Cricetulus griseus: one gene and its partner. The protein of the gene in region 2 interacts with the protein of the main gene of each other region in a pairwise test. Links are inferred from orthologs where the notes say so. Each region holds a gene or a part of one and is shown on either strand. Other genes may lie near its edges. The genes, in order: Pias3 and Satb1.

Region 1 (3,293 bases), about 190 Mb from region 2:
TCCTTCTTAGGTTTCATCGGACACCAGGATCCATCTTCCATGAACTGGATCTCATCACAATCAGAACAGGAATTAAGAATCTCCATGAATAAACTAGGGGAGGAGGACATGGGAATTCATGAGGCTGGGAGCTGGCGGAACAACAGTGTTCTAAGACTTACTTCCTGTGCCTCAGTCTCCTCATCTGTATTGTCCACCCTACTGGACCTGAGTTGTTGCTGGAATAGAAGTAATTCACAGGCTGGGACTATAGCTCAGTAACAGAGCACTTGTTTAGCATGCGGGCCCCGAGTTTGAGCCCTAGCACTGTGGAGGGAAGTATGTAAAAGAGATTCACAAGTTTTTTTTGTTTTTTTTGTTTTTTTGAGACAGGTTTTCTCTGTGTAGCCCTGGCTATCCTGGAACTCACTCTGTAGACCAGGCTGGTCTTGAATTCAGAGATCTACCTGCCCCTGCCTCTGCCTCCAGAGTGCTGGGATTAAAGGAATGCACCACCAGGCCCAGAAAACTTCACAAATTTTAGGTGCAGGTTTAAAACTTCTCAAAAGACAGTGTGAGAGCCCTAATGGAGGCTGTGCTAGGGGACTAAAACTACTTAGGACCAAAAAAATTATTTGCTTGTTGGGGTCGTAGAAGACTAGCTATATAATTATATCCAGAAATAAGAAAAAAGTAAAAAAAAAAAAACACCCTTATTGTGCCAATCTAATAGCTGCTACTTGTAATAGTAAAAATGAAAAGGAACGAAGGAACATTACAGCTATGTGCTGTGGGAAGTTCAGGTAGTTGTTACTGGCAATATATTGGAAAAATTCGATGTACTGCTCTGCCATTTACGAATGTGACCTTCAGCTCTAGTCTTTCCTCATCTGCGATGATGGTACATATGCTGTGGGGCTATGATGAGGACGCAATGAGAAAATGCATGCAAAATACTGAGCATGACGTATTAGCTAGCCTACGTCCTTGATGTCACACACACACACACACACACACACACACACACGGTGGATGACTAAAGGAGACACGGGGGTTAGAGCTGCAATTCATGAGACATAAGCCATAAAGTGAGGGAAGGCATCTAAGTGACTGTCCTAGCAGAGAGGGAAGCAGCAAAGCCCTACCCATCAATAATAAGAGATTCATAGGGAGCCTTCTTATCACACACAGGACATGTCCATGTTGGCTTCTTCTCATTCATCTGTAGATAAAGGGCAGCATCAAAGCTCTGCAGGTGGGCACAGGTAAGGGCACGGCATGGGACGGTCAGACGCATCTTCCCTAGCTGACGAGAGGAGAGTCCATTATAGAAAACGTTGCTCTAGTATCCTTAGGGACCCTCTTCAGACTTTAACCCAACCCTCCTCCCACTTCCTTTCACCCCAAGTACCCACCGGGCACATGAGTGACACCCGGAGACTTGTAGTAGCCACCTCACTGTCAGGGTCAGCGGTCAATTTCTCCTTGACTGAAACAAGAGTGAGTCCAAAGTCATGGGGTCAGCGAGGCTGGAAGCAGCCTGGAGACGGCCCCAGCTGAGAGGCAGCTGAGCAGAGTCTTTGGGGGCCCATGGCATGTCACAGGAGTGGGTCTGTACCAAGACAGCTGGGTGTGGAGAAGTGAGTTCTCATCCCTGAAGATGCTTAAACACTGCAGGGTGAAATGTGGGCTACATTAGGGACCAACTGGATGGAAAAAAAGCATCCAGTGAGGGTTAGCTCAAATCAGTACCGAGAGCTCACATCTTAGTAGGGCTGGAATTAGGGTCTTGGAGATACAGAACTGTTGTATGATTGGGAGTGCAAAGCTATTCCCATTGCTTGAGGATCTAATTTCTCAACCACAGAGACTGAGAAGCACAGGCTTGGGGGAGGGCTGGAGACCATGTAAGAGAGCCTGTGACAAAACCTGGAGGGCAGCAGGAACCCCTGAGCCAGATGTGGAAGAAGGAAAAGGCTGATACTCACTCAGTGCCCGGGAATGGTCTGGATTCCGGATACCCTTCGCTCTGAGTTTTTGTAGAAGGGTCCCTGCGGTTAACTGCCTCACCAGGTACACAGACAAGGAATAATTCTACTTGGGGAATGGGAACAGAGCATTAGTTTCTGCTTCCTACCTCCCCCTTCCCCACATACTTTGTCTCACAACGAGAGACTGGTCTTGATCAGAGAGGCCCAAAAGAACAAAATGAATCCCCAACCCCAAACTAGATGGCTCCCCTGCAGCCTCTGCTGGCCTTCCAGCTCCACTCACCCGTCCAAACTCAGATGACCAATTAACCACAATGGTGTTGGGAACTGTGGCTGAGAGCCGAGCCAGGGATGTAATGTTGATTGGACGGCTGGGCCTCTTGGGCTCTGCTCCATTCTTGGTTGGGGGAAGGTAACCCTGAGGAAGGGAGGGACTTGTTAGAGGAGACAGAGCACTGGGAAGGGGTTCAACTCTAACAACAGAAATCCTGTCTCAGATTTCTCTCTGGAGGGAGGCCAGCTCACTCATGAGCAATGGAGTAGGGATCCACTCAGAGATGCAAAACAAGGGCCCTACACAGGGCTCTGAGAGGCTCACTTCTGGGGGGCAGAGCTTATTTATTAACCAAGGAACTAGGAACCCAGCCAGGGAATCCCAGGGAACAACAGGGACACTTCTCATCTTCTACTTTCATCTGACGTTGTAACCTCTTAGAAGTCTTTTCTAAACCTTTGCATTAAACTAGTGTCCCTCTTCTGGGTTCTGACAAAAATTATTCAGCCCTATTTTATTTTACTTATTTTTTTCTAACTCTTTGAGAATTCCATACCATGTGTTTTGATCCTATTCACTCTCATCCTCGATTCTTCCCAGGACCCCGGCTTTTCTACTCACCCAACCTTGAGCCCCACCCATTAACATATCAGGTACAGTTTGTGTTGCCCATAAACTCTTGAATGTATGGCCTTCCACAGAAGCATGGGCTCTGTAGATTATAGTGATAAACTGAGCAACTACTACATGGCAGGCATTGTGCTCAGCATATCTTTTCATAAGAGGTTTTTACTTAATATTTATTTGTTGCCAAAAGGGAAGAATCTTTACCTACCGGCAGGGGGCAGAGTTTCCCATTAACCTTGACAAAGAGGTTAGGGGGAAAATAGTCCTCCTGTGGGCAGCTAGTCTCACAGAGACAGAACCTGGTGAGAAAGGACAGGTAAGTGGCAGTTTTCTGAGATGACTGAAGCAGGGAACTCTAGACAAAAAGCAGTCAGAACTAATTTGCAGTGCCCAGCATCCAGAGTGGACTGGGCAGAACAAGC
Region 2 (3,818 bases):
AGGGCTATAATGAAGACAATGCATCAAGTTTCGGAATAATTGCTTGAATTACTGTTTCATGTGAATGGCCCGCTTGGGCTGATATCACTGGTAGAAACTGAAGGTTTCTTTCCCTTCTCAGTTATATTCTGCATACATCTTGGAGTAAAACAATATGACCAGTTCCTCTGATTATAAAATCTGCACATTTAATGAAAAGAGAAATGAGTCTGTCCATAAGAAGGGTGGACATTTGAAAAGGCTTACCTGTTTATATTACACTCTCATTTTAGCCTCCCTCCAGTCTCTTATGTGTAACAGCACAGCGTTTGGCACACTTAGAGCTGACTCCTAGCCAATCCACACAAGTGCTCTAGCCAAGGGAGAGGAATTCATTCTGGGGAGGTGGAAATAAATTACAGAAACGTGACAGCATCACCATTGTACTAGGACAGCTCTCTGCCCCATCCTTAGCATCTGGTGAGAACCACACTTCTATTAAAAGCATTCAAGCCTTAGCCACACCGGGTGTGCTGGCTTACTCTATGTCTTCGCTTTGTCCTGAGAAGTATTTGCTGATACCCTTGTGTCCATGATTGGACTTAAATGAAACAAACCACATGTGATTCCGAGAGTGGCAGCCAGCTGTTGTGCCCACCTTATTACACGCTTATTTTGTAGCCTTCTTCTTTCTTTTGCCTGGATTGCTAGATTTAACATAATATGGAAGTATATCCAATATTTTTGTGTTTTAATCATAGTTTATCCACTTTTAGTTTAGCTCACGGTTTCTCGTTGCTGTTAAGCCTACAATATTCTTGTAGCCATCTTAAAAGAAACAGTCATTGCTTGTAAGCCTTCTTGTACTTGTAACTGAGAATCAGTAATAGTTTGATCCCTAAGCAAATATAAAAATGTGGATGTAGTAATTTTATGCCTTGAATGGGTGGTTCTCAACCTTCCTAATATAGTTCCTCATACTATTATGACCCCAATCATAAAATTATTTTTTGTTGCTACTTCATAACTGCAGTTTTGTTATAGTATTGTAAGTCATTTTGGAAATAGAGGTTTTCCAAAGAGGTCTCGGCCCACAGGTAGATAACCACTGCTGTAAATTTAAGCTGCATTTCAAAACAAGAACAGGAGCGCTGTCCTGCCCTTAGTGTGTGGGATTGTCTGTAGAGGGAAACACAGCCGTGGCCTGGGAGCTTGTGTCCTTAGTTATCTTGGCACCATTATTCTTCACTGCGCTCTCTCTCTCTCTCTCTCTCTCTCTCTCTCTCTCTCTCTCTCTCTCTCTCTCTCTCTGTTTCAGACAGGGTTTCTCTGTGTAACAGCCATAGCTGTCCTGGAACTCACTCTGTAGATCCAGGCTGACCTCAAACTCACAGAGATCCACCTGCCTCTGCCTCTGCCTCCCCAGTGCTGGGATTAAAGGCATGTGCCATCACCACCCGGGCTTTCTTTGTATTTCTCATGTTAGGAAATGATCAGAAAGTTTCTTATTGCTGTCTGAACTTGATTTTCCTTTTTTTCTACTTTAGTTGAAATGGATAGTCTGTCTGAACTATCTCAACAAGGCACCAACCACGTCAATTTTGGCCAGCAGCCGGTCCCAGGGAACACAGCTGAGCAGCCTCCATCTCCCGCACAGCTCTCCCATGGCAGCCAGCCCTCTGTCCGGACCCCTCTTCCAAACCTGCACCCTGGGCTGGTGTCAACACCTATCGGTCCTCAGCTAGTCAACCAGCAGCTGGTGATGGCCCAGTTGTTGAACCAGCAGTATGCGGTGAACAGACTCTTAGCCCAGCAGTCCTTAAACCAACAGTACTTGAACCACCCTCCCCCTGTCAGTAGGTCTATGAATAAGCCTTTGGAGCAGCAGGTTTCCACGAACACGGAGGTCTCTTCAGAAATCTACCAGTGGGTGCGGGATGAACTGAAGCGAGCGGGAATCTCCCAGGCAGTGTTTGCACGAGTGGCATTTAACAGAACTCAGGTCAGTTTTGTTCTGTTGTTCTACTGCCTCCTCTTGTGTCTTTGCTGAGCCCTATCTAAGCTCATGTTTTTCCTTTACTCTTTGTCAACCTCTGTTAACATGGCACCTCTGTTAAGTGTGGTCCCTGTGCCATCACTTCTGTCCCTGTGCCGTGCTCCTCTTCCAAGGGCACATCCTGGCATTGTCTGTATTCTCCTCATGGAATGGTAAGCTGTTAGTAATAGAAGGTGAGGAAGTGGCTAGCCTAGTGTTGTTTCTATGTTTCTGTTCATATCAAGCTTAAATACATTAATGTGCTTTGTTGAAATTCTTCAACTCTTTTGATACTATGCAGCTTAATAGTGATTGCATTTAATTCTCTGCAGCCGTTTCTTAGCCTTCTTCCATGATTTGTTCATGTTCTCCACACCTCATTCTTATTTTCCCCCATGTTTGTGGTAGAGTTATATGCATTGTACAAAGTGTGGTTTCTTTTCTTTCTCGCAGAGATCTGCCTGCCTCTGCCTCCCCAGTGCTGGGATTAAAGTCCTGTGCCACCACAGCTACCACTGCCTCCCAGCTGAAATGTGGGTGTTTATTTTTTTTATTTTTTATTTTTTTTGGTTTTTTGAGACAGGGTTTCTCTGTGGCTTTGGAGGCTGTCCTGGAACTAGCTCTTGTAGACCAGGCTGGTCTCGAACTCACAGAGATCCACCTGCCTCTGCCTCCCGAGTGCTGGGATTAAAGGCATGCGCCACCACCGCCTGGCTCTGAAGTGTGGTTTCTTATGGTACTTTGTGTACACATTGTGAGGCTTGGCCATGCTTCTAAGCACCTCTTCTTCTGATGCCCTTTTGCCCTTTGTCCAGAGTTCCTGGTTTATTTTGACAGATTTTACCTCACACCAGAGAAATCATGTTTCTTTCTTTTTTTTTTATGTGTCTATATAGTAAATATTTGAGGTCATAAACTCTGATCACACTGTAGATCACTAGCAATGGACAGTGGTGGGATGGGTGTGGCTTGGTGGCAATTCACTTGTGTCTATATCAGGCCATGTGCTGGGTTGGCTGCAGGCATTTAGTTTAGACTTCCCATTGAGGCCTACAAACATCCCCAGTGTTTACACTTTTTCCCTCCTGGGCAAATTCCTGTGAGACACAATCTTCTCTGCAAGAATAGTATCTCTAGTATTTATAAAGGTTTTATTTGTTTAGATGTTAACATAATACACGTGATGTTTATTTTTAGCCAAGGCACACTAAAATAAGAGGAACATTTAACTTTGAGGCTGTAATGTCTTCTCAGTTTTCTTGTTTTTACCTTGTTTTTTTTTTCTTTTTCTTCCTCTTCCTCTTCTCTTTTTTTGTTTTTTGTCTGACTCATTTTCCTTTCATCTTCAAGTTTTGTTTCTTTTCATCTTTATTTTGTTTATTATGATTGTGAGGATACAATTCTGATACAAAAGTAATTTAGTATTAATTCCTTGTTGGCAGTTGCTGAGCCTAGGAGAATGCCAGCTGTGATTTGTGTTTGACTGGCTTTGGTTAGACTGAGGGTCAGAAGACATGGTGGGGTTTTATAGGGCTCCTTCAAATTTTCTACAGCTGTTTTTCTAGTCATTATTGTTGTTTTTAAAAGGGTGGCTTTTGCACTGTGTTGTCTTAGGTTAAAACTTTGTATTTTTTAACTAAGATCTGTGTTTTTACAGCTTTAAAATTGTGTTCATTCTTAGCTGGTAAATTTAATATGACCCTTTAACTCAGTTGGGAGCAATAATTTTAAAAAAAATCAGTGAATCAAAAGCCACCCTCTAGAAATTCTGATTTGTGGTAGCATTCTTTATTTTGTAAATACA

The links.
Region 1: the proteins of Satb1 (region 2) and Pias3 interact in a two-hybrid assay, tested with the Homo sapiens proteins (2 studies listed by BioGRID and IntAct). The link is inferred for Cricetulus griseus from reciprocal best matches to the Homo sapiens genes SATB1 and PIAS3.

What each region holds. Positions count from the first base shown.
Region 1 is NW_023276806.1:59,797,894-59,801,186, forward strand, and holds part of Pias3 (E3 SUMO-protein ligase PIAS3), read right to left. Parts: intron 3,171-3,293; coding exon 3,080-3,170; intron 2,389-3,079; coding exon 2,254-2,388; intron 2,074-2,253; coding exon 1,968-2,073; intron 1,469-1,967; coding exon 1,395-1,468; intron 1,286-1,394; coding exon 1,125-1,285; intron 94-1,124; coding exon 1-93. UniProt on the Homo sapiens protein: Functions as an E3-type small ubiquitin-like modifier (SUMO) ligase, stabilizing the interaction between UBE2I and the substrate, and as a SUMO-tethering factor.
Region 2 is NW_023276806.1:251,371,267-251,375,084, forward strand, and holds part of Satb1 (DNA-binding protein SATB1), read left to right. Parts: intron 1-1,526; coding exon 1,527-1,981; intron 1,982-3,818. UniProt on the Homo sapiens protein: Crucial silencing factor contributing to the initiation of X inactivation mediated by Xist RNA that occurs during embryogenesis and in lymphoma.